Canis lupus familiaris: one gene and its partners. The protein of the gene in region 2 purifies or fractionates together with the protein of the main gene of each other region. This does not show direct contact. Links are inferred from orthologs where the notes say so. Each region holds a gene or a part of one and is shown on either strand. Other genes may lie near its edges.

Region 1 (4,193 bases), on a different chromosome or scaffold from region 2:
CAAGCAGGGCTATCTTCAAACACCAGGAGCCATTCACAGATGCTCTGTGTAATAAAGCCCTGGTTCACACAGAATCATCCACCCACCGTATGTATAATGGGAATGGCGACACCTGGACTTGTGCCACAGAGGCCCAGTTCTGTCCAGAGAAATTATTAAGCAATAGGCTTTTGTAAAAAGGAAGGAGATTCAGAGAATTTTTTGAGCTGGAAATCAGTCACTTTCAGGATTATCAAGCCCAAGCCCTTCATTCTGCTGATCAGGATATGGTGCTCCTTTTTAAAGCAGATTTACAGTCCAGACAAAGTAAATGCACGGAGTTATCTTCTGTATTTCAAGCCATTTTTTAAAAAGTCAGTAGGGAATATTGCTTAGAAATTTCATATCATAACTATGAAATAAAATATAAAAGCAACCTTTGAAAAACAGAGTTGGTCTGGTTTATCTAATACAAAGCAGAACACCCAGCCCCCTCCAAAAGCTTTCCCAAATCTTTCCTATGTGTTTATGGTGAATTTATCAGCTTCACCACCTGCCCCCCCCCCCCCCCCCCCCCCCACACACACACAGTGGGATTTAGAAGCCTAGGGCTGGCTATTTACAACACAGCATTTAAAATAACAAGGCACCTTATTGTAAAAACATTCCCCTCCCACCAAAGGAAAGTCCCTCCCATCAACCCTGTGATTTGCTAAGGAGAGAAATATGTACAGTTCCAATTTACACTTAGGTCAAAACTATTTCCAACAAGATGGAGGGAATCCTTTCCAGTTCTAAAATTCCATGATTCTAGTAATTCACCTTAGTACTTTTGCATGATGTCTTCTGCTCAGATACCATTTTAAATTACTTGACATTTTGAGATTTATTAAATGTTTAGCAATTTTAATATCAAAGGAATACTGGTGTACTCATTAAACAGTGTACTATATATCTGGATAATGAGACCAAATTTTATGAGACGCTGAATAACATATAGTGTCTTGTTAATTATAATTTAAAACAGACTTTCTTAAACAGTCTCTGCATTCTTCTCCTGGAAGATTGTTCTGTTACTACCTTATTACGACAGCTGCTAAAGAAAAAAAAGTAAAAGATACAAGGCGGCTTAGTCTCTTGATTTAGCACTCGGAAATCGTGATCCACCATGGAAGGGATTTACGCTGAGAGTCAACGATATGGAACAAGACCTACTAAGTACAAATTTCCTAATAATAAGCCACGAATTGCTTTTCTCCGTTATTAAAGGAAGGCCCCTCATCTACTAATTTAAAGTTTAAACAGGACACCTGTACAAAGACAACACACGTTTTGTGACTTTACATTCAAATTTTAGTCCATTTAAGTTTCTTAGTAAAACGTTAACATATTTGCCGAATACTTTGGGGAGAGAGCTGTTTGGCCACCGAATTTTTATCGGCCGAATGGACAGTCTCTGGCTTGAGTACCGTTGCGCGATTTTTCAAAGGCTACATTACTATTATTTTTAGAGCACCGTCACTTATATCCTACATAGCTGTGAAAATGTCAAAGTGCTCGTTTAGGATTTGTCTTTATCAATCTACAAATAAAGAAAGTATACTTCCACGGTTATGACTGCAAGAAAACAAAATACTTGTCCCTGGAAGGGGTCAGCACGTGCTGCCTGCAGCGCCGGACACGGGCCGCGGCCTCCCGGGAGCTTCGCCGGCCCGCAGGGGTCTGTCCACCTTTCCCCGCCTCCGGGGCACCGGGGGCTCGCGTCCAGCGGACGGCAGGCTCGCTCCGGGCTGGCGCCGCCGCCCAACCCCGCCAGCGGGACTTCACCCCGAGAGACGCCCGTCCTCGAGTTCCGAGGGCAGGATGCGGAGCAGTGACGGGCAGTCCGGGGTCCGGCGGGGACCCGAGCGCACGTGAGGTTGCATCAGAAAAGAGGAGCTCCGCAAAGTCGGTGAACTGGGGCGCACGGGGAGCGTGTTACGCAACGGCCGCCGCTCTCCCGGCCGCGACCCGCGAGGACCGGGGACGCGAACCTGCAGGGGTCGACGCGGGTGGGCAACGCTGCGGCTCTGCGGGCGGCGCCGTCGGGGCGGGGGGCGCGGCGGGCGGCGGACGGCGGCGCGGCCCGGCCCGGCCCGGGGGGACCACCGCACGGGGTGCGAGGGGACGACCGCACAGCACAGCCCGCGGGCGGGCCGACGGCGCGGCCTCCGGGGACGGCGGCGCAGCGGGCGCGGACCCCGGTGCTCCGGGGCCGCCAGCAGGCAGGCGCCCGGCCCCGGTCGCGGGGAGCAGCCCGGGCCGTCGCAGCGGTGCCCCCGGCGCGGACGGCCTCTCGGGCCGCCCCAGCCCCGCCGGGAGCCCGGCGCACAACAAAGCGGCGCAGCGCCGGCGGCCGGGCGCTGCCTCCCCACGGCCCCCGCTCGGCCGACTCCGGACGGCCCGCGACGACGCGCCGCCAGCGGAGGCGGCTCCGGGCCCGGGCCGGGCGGGGGCCGTGGGGGCAGGGCGAGGGCGAGGGCTCCGCTCGGGACGAACTTCCTCGGCCGCCCTGCCGAGCCCGGCGCCCCTCCCGCAGCCTCGGCCCGAGGGTGGGCGCCCCGGAGCCCCGGGGCCCCGCCGGCCCGCGGAAACTTCCAGCCGCCCCGCCCTGGCCCCGGGCCCCACGCCCCCCGCCCCTGCCCCCTCACCTCCTGGGGCGCGGTCTACACCCTCCGGGGCGTCCCGGTCCGCGGCTCCGGGGCCTCGCGCGCCGGGGGACCGGGCGCCAGTGGCTGGAGCGGCTGCTGGCCCCGCGGGCACGGGGGAGCCCCGGGCGGCGGCGGCGCGGGCGGCGGCGGCTCCATCTTCCCGGGGCGCTCACGCCGAGGTTCCAGCGCGCAGACCCAAGTGGGACATTCGCTACATTGTTGGCATTCCACGGGCGTCACGTGACCCCGCCTCCCGCGTCACCGGCGGCCGCATACCAGCCCGGGCGGGGCGCCCGCGGCCCTGCTGCTCGGCGGCCGCCCCGCCCGCCCGCCCTGCCCCGCGCCGCTTCCTGCCTCCGGGTCCCCGCCGCCCGCCCGCCCGCCCGCCCGCCGCCACCTGCCCCGGCCGCCCCGCTCCAGGGTCGCCCCTCCAGCCGCACTACTCGGAAACTTGGTAACCCCGTCCTCGAGGCATCTCACACCAGCCTCGGCTGAGAGAGTGAGTTAACAGGCCTAGAGGAGCCACCGAAGTGCCCAAGTCTGTGTCAGCTGTTACAAGTAAGGGCAGAAGAGGACAACTTCACCCGTGCGAGCAAGTAATAAAGGACGTTCAGATATATATATCCCGATTTAGTCCGTTTTCATTTAATCAAACCCCAGAGCAATGGATATTTTATGAGAAATGTTTCCTGATGTGCAGAACGAGATAGTAACGTAGACCAACGAGTGAAACTCTGAGTCGTGCATGTCCATCTGTGGGCTGTGCATGTGGTGCAAGGGCATGTGCAGGGATGGTGCGGAGATGTGAGTACAAATAATAGCTTGCAAACGAACCCCTAACCCACTACTGGACTCTCCTGGCATCATACTTCCTACCACCTGCAGTCTGCGGCAGGTGATGGTGAGGGCTAATATTGTTTTAAAAGGCAGTCCAATTTCCTTTCCTAATACACTCTTGTGAAGTTTTTTAAACTTTTTTTGTTTTGTTTTGTTTTTTAAACTTTAATCTGAAAAGAAACCGTCATGAAGGTCATTAGCTCTGGCCGTTTTAACAACCTTAGTTAGCAATCCTTGGTGGGCCATCCTATACACTTTACTCTCTAATTCCCACCCAGGCTTTCAGCCCTGCCTCTGTCTTAGCTCTGCAAGGAAATCTTCCTAGATCCCCCAACTGTTTTCTCTCCTCTTTGGGCTCTGGTAATTAAGCCGATTATTGCGGCTTAATTACCAGAAATTGAAAATTTCATTTTTCAATCTTATCCTGTGCTCTACCCAGGCATCTTGAATGGCATAAAACCCCAGTGGATATTCTGTAATCGAGTCTCTTTTGCATTCACCTGTGTACCTATTCACTCATGCACTGACCTTTCTTTCTCCTTCCCAGCCCCTGGCTGGCTGGGCTGGCTGCCATTCTTCTTCCTGTGTGTTTATTTTTTTTTTTTTAATTTTTATTTATTTATTTATGATAGTCACACAGGGAGAGAGAGAGAGAGAGAGAGAGGCAGAGACATAGGCAGAGGGAGA
Region 2 (3,500 bases):
CTAATCAGTAATTGATATAAATTAAATAATAAAGCCTTTATATATATTTTTTATCTATTTACTTGTGTACAAGCAGTTCAATTTTATGAGTTCCTGAATACTTCCCTATTTATAAGCTTTTACTTCTTATTAAATACTTTGGTATGTGGTACTTAGTATTTAATTGCATTATAGTAAGTAATGAACGTTCAGGTTTTTTCCTTGTGCTTATTTAGTGTTAATTATTTCCAAGTTGTGCTGCTTTAATTATCTGGCTTAAAGATGCTAGACTGAAAAAATTTTGACTATAAGGGGCACCTGGGTGGCTCAATTGGTTAAGTGGCTGACTCTTGATTTTGGCTAAGGTCATGAACTCAGGGTCATGGGATTGAGCCCCACATCTGCTTGAGGATTCCTCTCCCTCTACCCCCCACCCCCGCCCCACTCATGCATGCACTTGAGCCTTCTCTCTCTCTCTCTCTCTCTCAAATAAATAAGAAATTTGATTATAATAAATCTTAAGAAATATTAAGAAACATGGAACACTTTATCACCCATAATGTTAATGTGTGTTATCACACACATCAAGGTGTGATGGGATTAATGTTTTAGTGTTTCTTCTTTCCAGTCTCTTTTTCTGATAATAAAGGACTAATTTTATATGGGGATACATGGTATTAAGACATTTACCCCTTGGGAAAAAATTGTCTTCCCTGAATATGCTGCAGGTATAAAGGAAAGAAAAGGTCTCCAATGAGTTTCTAGTTCTATTTCTAATTACAGTATTTTGAAGGGATGTTTTTATTTTGTGTTGTTATTCCTGAACCTTCCTTAGAAGAAATTTAAATAAAGTAAATAAGACAAACTTATTAATGGCTTAAATGCTTCACACAGTGAAGTTTTGCAGAAGTCTTATTATGCATTCTAGCTCAGCAAAGGAAAGGTGAAAAAGATGCGTGCCTAAGGGTATTTCTTTAGTACCCTCTCCAGGAAACAATCTTATAATCTTGACTGTATTGTTGATACCTTGATGGCCAGCTGTTGTAGGATATGAGGCATATCCCATCAGTCTCTCACCAGCCCTTAGCACCCTCTGCCAGGAATGTGTGTTCCTTTATTATTCCCAGGGCTGTGTTAAAACATCCATTTTGGCACTGTCAGCTGCCACATTATCCTCCCTTTCTCTTCTAATTATACCTATCCTCTTTCAGGATAATTCTGTAGGGGAAAAAAAAAATAGGGCAGCCCCAGTGGCCCAGGGGTTTAGCAACAGCCTTTGGCCCAAGGTGTGATCCTGGAGATCCAGGATCGAGTCTTGCGTTGGGCTCCCTGCATGGAGCCTGCTTCTCCCTCAGCCTCTCTCTCTTTCTCTCTCTCTCTCTGTCATGAATGAATAAATAAATAAATCTTTAAAAAAAAAATTCTATAGGGAAATCTGAGTGATCTTCAGTAGAACTTGAGGTAATTTACTAAAGTTACATGTAACTTCTATTGACAAAATGTAGACCTACTTTGATTGCAAGTTGTACATTTGTTACTGTTTTTGAAAACTATCAGTAAAATCTTTTTCTCTCCAGATACGAATATCACTGGGCAGATGGTACTAATATTAAAAAGCCAATCAAATGTTCTGCACCAAAATACATTGACTATTTGATGACTTGGGTTCAGGATCAGCTTGATGATGAAACTCTTTTTCCTTCTAAGATTGGTGAGTTAATGTTGAATTGTTTTCCTTTTTAACTGATAAATATGTTGCATTCTTTTTAATACTATTACTTTAAAAAAAAATTGTAATGAATACTGCCAAATTCCTCTCCAGAAAGATTGTAACCAGTATCTGCCCATGTTTCCTCACTAATATTGCGGTTGGCTACTCATTTTTTTTTTTTTTAATTTTATTTATTTATGATAGTCACAGAGAGAGAGAGAGAGAGGCAGAGACACAGGCAGAGGGAGAAGCAGGCTCCATGCACCGGGAGCCTGATGTGGGATTCGATCCCGGGTCTCCAGGATCGCGCCCTGGGCCAAAGGCAGGCGCCAAACCACTGCGCCACCCAGGGATCCCGGCTACTCATTTTTTACTCATTTTTTTCTGTTCCTATCCTTTGGTAAGATTAGCTCTGACATAAATGTCATATGTGCTTTTTCCTTGATTGCCATATGTCTTATTTTGTTCATGAGGTATTCTTGCTTGTATATAACTTTCTTATTTTGTTCTACTAATTTTTCCTTTACATTGTGTGGATTTTAATACAATGATTAGAAAGATTTTCCCTACTTCAAGATTATAAAAATATTTGTCCTTATTTTCATTTAGTACTTTTGTGGTTTTATTTTTACATTTAAATCTTTATTCTTGGGCAGCCCGGGTGGCTCAGCAGTTTAGCTATATGTTAATCCTTCAAGTCTTCAAGTTTCTTAAGTTTGTTCCTAGACTTTTTGTGTATAATATATATATATGTGTGTGTGTGTGTATATATATATATATATAATATCAATAAAAATGATATCTGGCTTCCAAATGGGTTATTGTTTAGTATGTAGAAAAGCTATTGATTTTTTATATAAAATTTCCAAATAAATTGGCCATCAGATTCTTATTGTTTCAGTTGTTTTGGGTTGGTTTTCTTGAGTTTTTAAGTATTCAATCACATCATATTAAGCTAATATTAAATTTGCCTCTTCCTTTCTGATCGGGATGCTTCTTGTGTAACTTGTACCTACTTGCCCCAGAGTAGTGCTGAGTAATGGAGATGATGTGGCAGGACGTCCTTTTTCTTGTTTCCTTACTTTTATGCAGGTGCTTCTAGTACTTCAGCGTTAAGCAGGAATCTTACTTTTGGTTAGACGTATGTGAATCTTTAAAAAATCAGGTGTGGTTGTTGAGTTTTATGATACTTTCCCAGTGTCTGTTGTTGGTTACCATAAAGTTTTTTCTGTGTTGTTTGTTTTTCAATGTTTTACTGGAAGAGTATTTTTTATTTGCTGATATTTTGATTAAGATTTTGTCATCGGTATTTATGGATGAGTTCAATCTTTTCATTTTCATTTTGAGTGTGTCTTACAAATGACATGTTGGATTGTCTTTTCTGTTCGTGCTGCTATAATAACAAAACTACCAGAGATTGGATGGTTCGTGAAGAGAAACTTCTCAGTTGTGAAGGCTGGAAGTCCAAGATCAAGGTGCCAGCATAGTCAGGTCTTGTGAAAACCAACTTTTGGGTTGCAGACTGCTGATTTCTTGCTTCGTCCTCACTTGGTAGAAGGAGCCCGCACAAGTTCTCTGGGGCCTCTTTTATAAGGGCATTAATCCCACTCATGAGGGCTCTGCTCTTGTGACTGAATCACCTCTGAGCCCCACCTCCTAATAGCATCACCTAGGTGGTTAGGCTTTCAACATGGGAATTTTGAGGGGATGCACATATTCAGACCATAGCAGATTCCTTTTTGTGGCCTAATCAGTGGCTCTCTTGGGAGAAAAACTTGTATCATGTTACACCAGGTCTCTTTGCTTTTCG
Region 3 (4,236 bases), on a different chromosome or scaffold from region 2:
CAAAAAATAAATAAATAAATAGTCTTTCTATAAAAAAAAAAAAAAAGAAGTGGGGCTCTTCGTTCTTGGGGAGAGGGATGCGATCAATATACCCGAGCCCCGGGCGGGTACGTGGTGGGGCGGAGGGGGCTGGGTTGGGGACTAAGGTGGGAGGAGAGCAGGACCGTAACCGGAGAAGCAGACACGTTCAGGAGAGGGGGGGGAAAAACAAAATTAAAAAAAAAAAAGGAGGTGTGCGGGCCGAAGAAACCACTGAGCATCACGGCATGATTCAGTCAACTGTTACCCGTGTTTAAGTTAAGCAGAAGGCCCCGGGACTACAGCTGTTGTATTTACCGTCGGGCAGGTGATGGGAGCTGGTCCTTCTGGGCTGCACAGCCCCCGAGCCTCCCGGTGCAAAGTGGGAGGGGGGTCAGGACCGGGCTGGGGGCGGAGGGGGGCTGGCAGGAGGCCGAGTGCCCCGTCCCCACCTGGGCGGGGGGCGCAGGGGGCCGCAGCGTCCCCGCGGGGAGGGGGAGGGGAGAGGCGAGGCCGAGGAGGGAGGGGAGGGGATGGGGAGGGGATGGGGAGGGGATGGGGAGGGAGCGGGAGGCCGAGTGCCCCGTCTCCGCCTCCCCCAACCTGGAGGGATGCGCGGCGGCCGGAGCGTCCCCGCGGGGAGGGGGCGGGGCAGAGGGAGGGGAGGAGGGGGGGGGGGAGGGGGGGGCCGGGAGGGGTTGGGAGGCCGAGTGCCCCGCCCCCGCCCCCCCACCTGGTGCGGATGCGCGGCGGCCGAGCGTCCCCGCAGGGGGGGCTGGGGTGGGGTGGGGGGGGGTGGGGGCGGGGCCCGCGGAGCGCGCGGGGAGGGGGGGCGGGGGGCGGCCGTGCCCGCGCTCGCTGTCGCCCCGCCCGGCTCCGAGCGGCAGCGCGCTGGCCTCCAGCCCGAGCCGGTCACCCGGGCGCCCAGGCCTCCGCGGCTTAGCGCTGAGCGGGAGCGCGCGGCCGGGGCGGCGTCGGGGTCCCTGCAGCCCGGGCGCTCCCGCCCCATCGCGGAGGCCCCGCCCTGTCTCGCGGCCCGAACCACAAAAGGCCGCGCGCCGAGCCCGCCCCGCCCCGCGCCGCCCCGCCCCGCCCCACCCCGCGCGTCGCAGTGCCGCAGGGGCCTCGGCCGGGCCGGGGAGCGCAGCCGCAGCCTCCCGCCCGCCGGCCAATCGGCGGCGCCCTCCTGGCCCGGGGCGGTCTGCGGCGCCGGCTCGGGCCGAGTCCCTTCCCCTTTCTCTGCCACGTCCCAACCGGTGACGTGAGCCCACTCCCCGGGTCCCCATTGGGCGCGTGGACTTTTCCTGCAGAGGCCCTGGGCGCCGATTGGCCGGCACCGCCCGGGGGCGGGGCTTGCGTGCCCGCCTCCTCCGCCTCCGCCGCGGCGCTGGGGGCGGGACGCGCGGCCGCCGCCGCCTCTGCTTCCGCCGCCGCCGCCGCCGCCGCCGCCGCCGCCGCTGCCGCCGCTGCGCGTTCCGCGGGGGAGGAGTCGGAGGCGGAGAAGAAGGCGGTGGTGGCGCTGAGGCTCGGGCGCTGCCGTCGCTGCGGGGCCGCTGCACTGTAGGGTGAGCCGTATTTCCTTTTCTTTCCTCAGGCCGAGCTGTAGTGGTGCGGGGAGCGCGGGGGTCGGGGCGAGGGCGGCGGCGGCGGCGCGGCGGGGGCGCGGGGGGGCGGGGGAGGCGCGGGAGGCGCGGGGCCTGCGTCCGCCGCCGGCCATGGTGGGTGGGGTTGGCGGCGCCACGGGCCCGGCCCCGGCCCCCGCCCCGGCCCCCGCCGCCGCCGAGTGCTGCCCGGCGGCCCGCGGAGCCCCCGCCGCCCCCGCCCCGCCTGCCGTTGCGGCCGCTCCCCGCCGGGCCGGCCCGCCTCCCGGGGCCCTCGGCCGCGCCGACCCCCGCGCGGCCCGTCCCCCCGAGCTCCCCCCGTGCTCCCGCCGGTGCTCCCTCCGTGCCCCCCCGAGCCCCCCCCGTGCTCCCCCAGCTCCTCCCCCCGTGCTCCCGCCGGTGCTCCCCCGGTGCTCCTCCGTGCTCCCCAGCTCCCTCCATCTCCCCTTGGTGCTCCCTTCAGTGCTCCCCTGGGTGCTCCCCCTAGCTCCCCCAGTGCTTCCCCCGCTCCCCCCCGTGCCCCCCCATGCTCCCCCAGCTCCCGTCGGTGCCCCCCCGCCCCCCAGCTTCTCCCCAGCTCCCCCCCCGGTGCCCCCCGTGCCCCCCCGTGCCCCCCGGTGCCCCCGCCGCTCGCAGTGTCAGGCCGCGCTCCCCCGCCCGCCGCCCGCCGCCTGGAGGCCGGCCTCCCGCGGATGGCTGCTTGCTAAATCATTTTGCGCACCTTCGAAATGCCGAGTTTAAAGCCGCCCGAGGACCAAGTTGAAGAAAAAAGGGAGGACGTAAAATACTCTTTTTTTTTTTTTTTTTTTGCAAAAAGGAAGAATAATCTGTTGAGGAGACTTCCCTCGCCAGGCATTAAATTTTTTTTTTTTTTTTTTTTTTTTTGCTTCCCGTATGCACGGGCCCTGCTTTGAGTCTGCTGCCTCTGTGAACTTTATGTTTATGTAGGTTTGTTTTTTTTAAGGCTTTCTGTATTTGCTTTTTTTTTTTTTTTTTTTATCATGACCTATTTGGTCAAATTTCCTTAAAATGGCAGTCCCCTCTGCCGAGGACTCCAGATCATTCCAAGAGCATGTCAATAAATATGAAAATAACAGAAAGAAGCGTGTTAACGATTTGTAGGTTTTTTTGTGTTTTGTTTTTTGTCTCATAGCATCCATCCCATTTTTATAGGAGATGACTCTAAGTCCTGAATATTGGCCCCAGACACGCAAGCTCGATGTAAAATTGGACAATATAAGGAAAAGGCCTATGGAGCAAGACTTGGACACTTGTCATCCTCCTGTCCTACTCCAGTCTCTGAAGTTAGCCATTTACTGGGCATTTTTAGAAACGCATTTTTAAACACATACATATAAAGTCGGGGTTCAGGGGCGAGGCGGGAGGAATACCAAACACCTCGCTGCGTCCCTCCTTCCTCTCACCTGCCCACGTGTCTGGCCCACCTTGGTTTGTTCTTTAGGGCTCTCTCTGATAACTTTGTTAAGGGTAAGCGGTATTTCATTGGTTTGGAGGAGCTGGGATTATTTGACCTATTGAAAGACATTCGATTAGTTTCTTTTCGCTGTCAAATACTGCTTTATTTGAAGACAACTTTTTAATGCATTGATTAGTTTTTAGTTGCACACTTTAAACCTTAAAATTTTTTAAAAAAATTCCAACAGTTGGAGGAATGAACGTAAGGTAAATAGTGCAGCACCCACTTCCCCTTCTGGTCCTGCCTTTATTCTAAAAGTCACCTGTTAGGGAAACGTCCTCTGTGTGTGATCACTTCTGGAGCATAGATTCCCTCCAAATGGAGTTCCTGCGTTAAATGGTATGCATGTTTTAAATTTTGATGACCGTTTTTCCCTCTTTCCAGAATTATTCTTGACTGTTTCTTATGCATTTCTTCCCCAGATGAACTTTAGATGCAACTTACAAATTTTTAAAAATCCTTAGTTTTTTATTTTCTTTTTTTGAATGTGACATTGAAATTTTAGATGGATTTGGGGCAAACTGACCTTTGTAATACTGAGCCTCTCCCCCAGAATATGTGCGTGTATGGTGTGTCTTTCCCTTTTATTCACATCTGGCTTTATATCCTTAGTTTGGGTTTTATAGTAGTTGTGTCCCCGCCCCCCATACTATGGCATTCCTTCCTAGTAATCCTGGCTAGAGTGTGATGTGATTTGCTCTGGTGGATAGAAACTTGCAGGAACATTTTCTCTCTCTTTCTGGTTATAGGAAAACTTACGGATTTTTTTTTTTTTGTTTATCATGAATCTAATCACTTTTGAGTTGGTGATTACCTAGAAGTGTTCACACCTTTCTGGCTTTCTTTTCATTTTTTTTATAACGTATTTTCCTCATTGCTTTGGCTAGCGTACACTTGCGGTATAATTTTGAAGAATAGCAGTGGTGGCTAAAAATGTGGTGTTGTTTCTGACTTTGAGGGACTGCTTCTGATGTTTTAGCATCCATTAACGATGTTTGCTGAAACTTTCTGTTAAACGGGAAATGTTAAGTTAAAATATTTTCTTCTCTTTTCGGCTTTCCAAGATGATTTTGTTGTTGTCTTTAATTTCTGATGACATTTTTAAAAACCGTAAGTGGGTGTTGAATTTTATTGATGGTT

The links. Proteins that work in one complex are often made in the same cells at the same time.
Region 1: the proteins of MOB1A (region 2) and LATS2 purify together in Homo sapiens (affinity purification with western blotting; 9 studies listed by BioGRID and IntAct, with this or other methods). This does not show direct contact. The link is inferred for Canis lupus familiaris from reciprocal best matches to the Homo sapiens genes MOB1A and LATS2.
Region 3: the proteins of MOB1A (region 2) and PJA2 purify together in Homo sapiens (affinity purification with western blotting; 3 studies listed by BioGRID). This does not show direct contact. The link is inferred for Canis lupus familiaris from reciprocal best matches to the Homo sapiens genes MOB1A and PJA2.

The regions. Positions count from the first base shown.
Region 1 is NC_049246.1:17,175,460-17,179,652, reverse strand, and holds the start of LATS2 (serine/threonine-protein kinase LATS2), read right to left. Parts: upstream 2,801-4,193; 5' UTR 2,670-2,800; intron 1-2,669. UniProt on the Homo sapiens protein: Negative regulator of YAP1 in the Hippo signaling pathway that plays a pivotal role in organ size control and tumor suppression by restricting proliferation and promoting apoptosis.
Region 2 is NC_049238.1:49,426,339-49,429,838, forward strand, and holds part of MOB1A (MOB kinase activator 1A), read left to right. Parts: intron 1-1,556; coding exon 1,557-1,690; intron 1,691-3,500. UniProt on the Homo sapiens protein: Activator of LATS1/2 in the Hippo signaling pathway which plays a pivotal role in organ size control and tumor suppression by restricting proliferation and promoting apoptosis.
Region 3 is NC_049224.1:2,731,699-2,735,934, forward strand, and holds the start of PJA2 (E3 ubiquitin-protein ligase Praja-2), read left to right. Parts: upstream 1-1,436; 5' UTR 1,437-1,583; intron 1,584-4,236.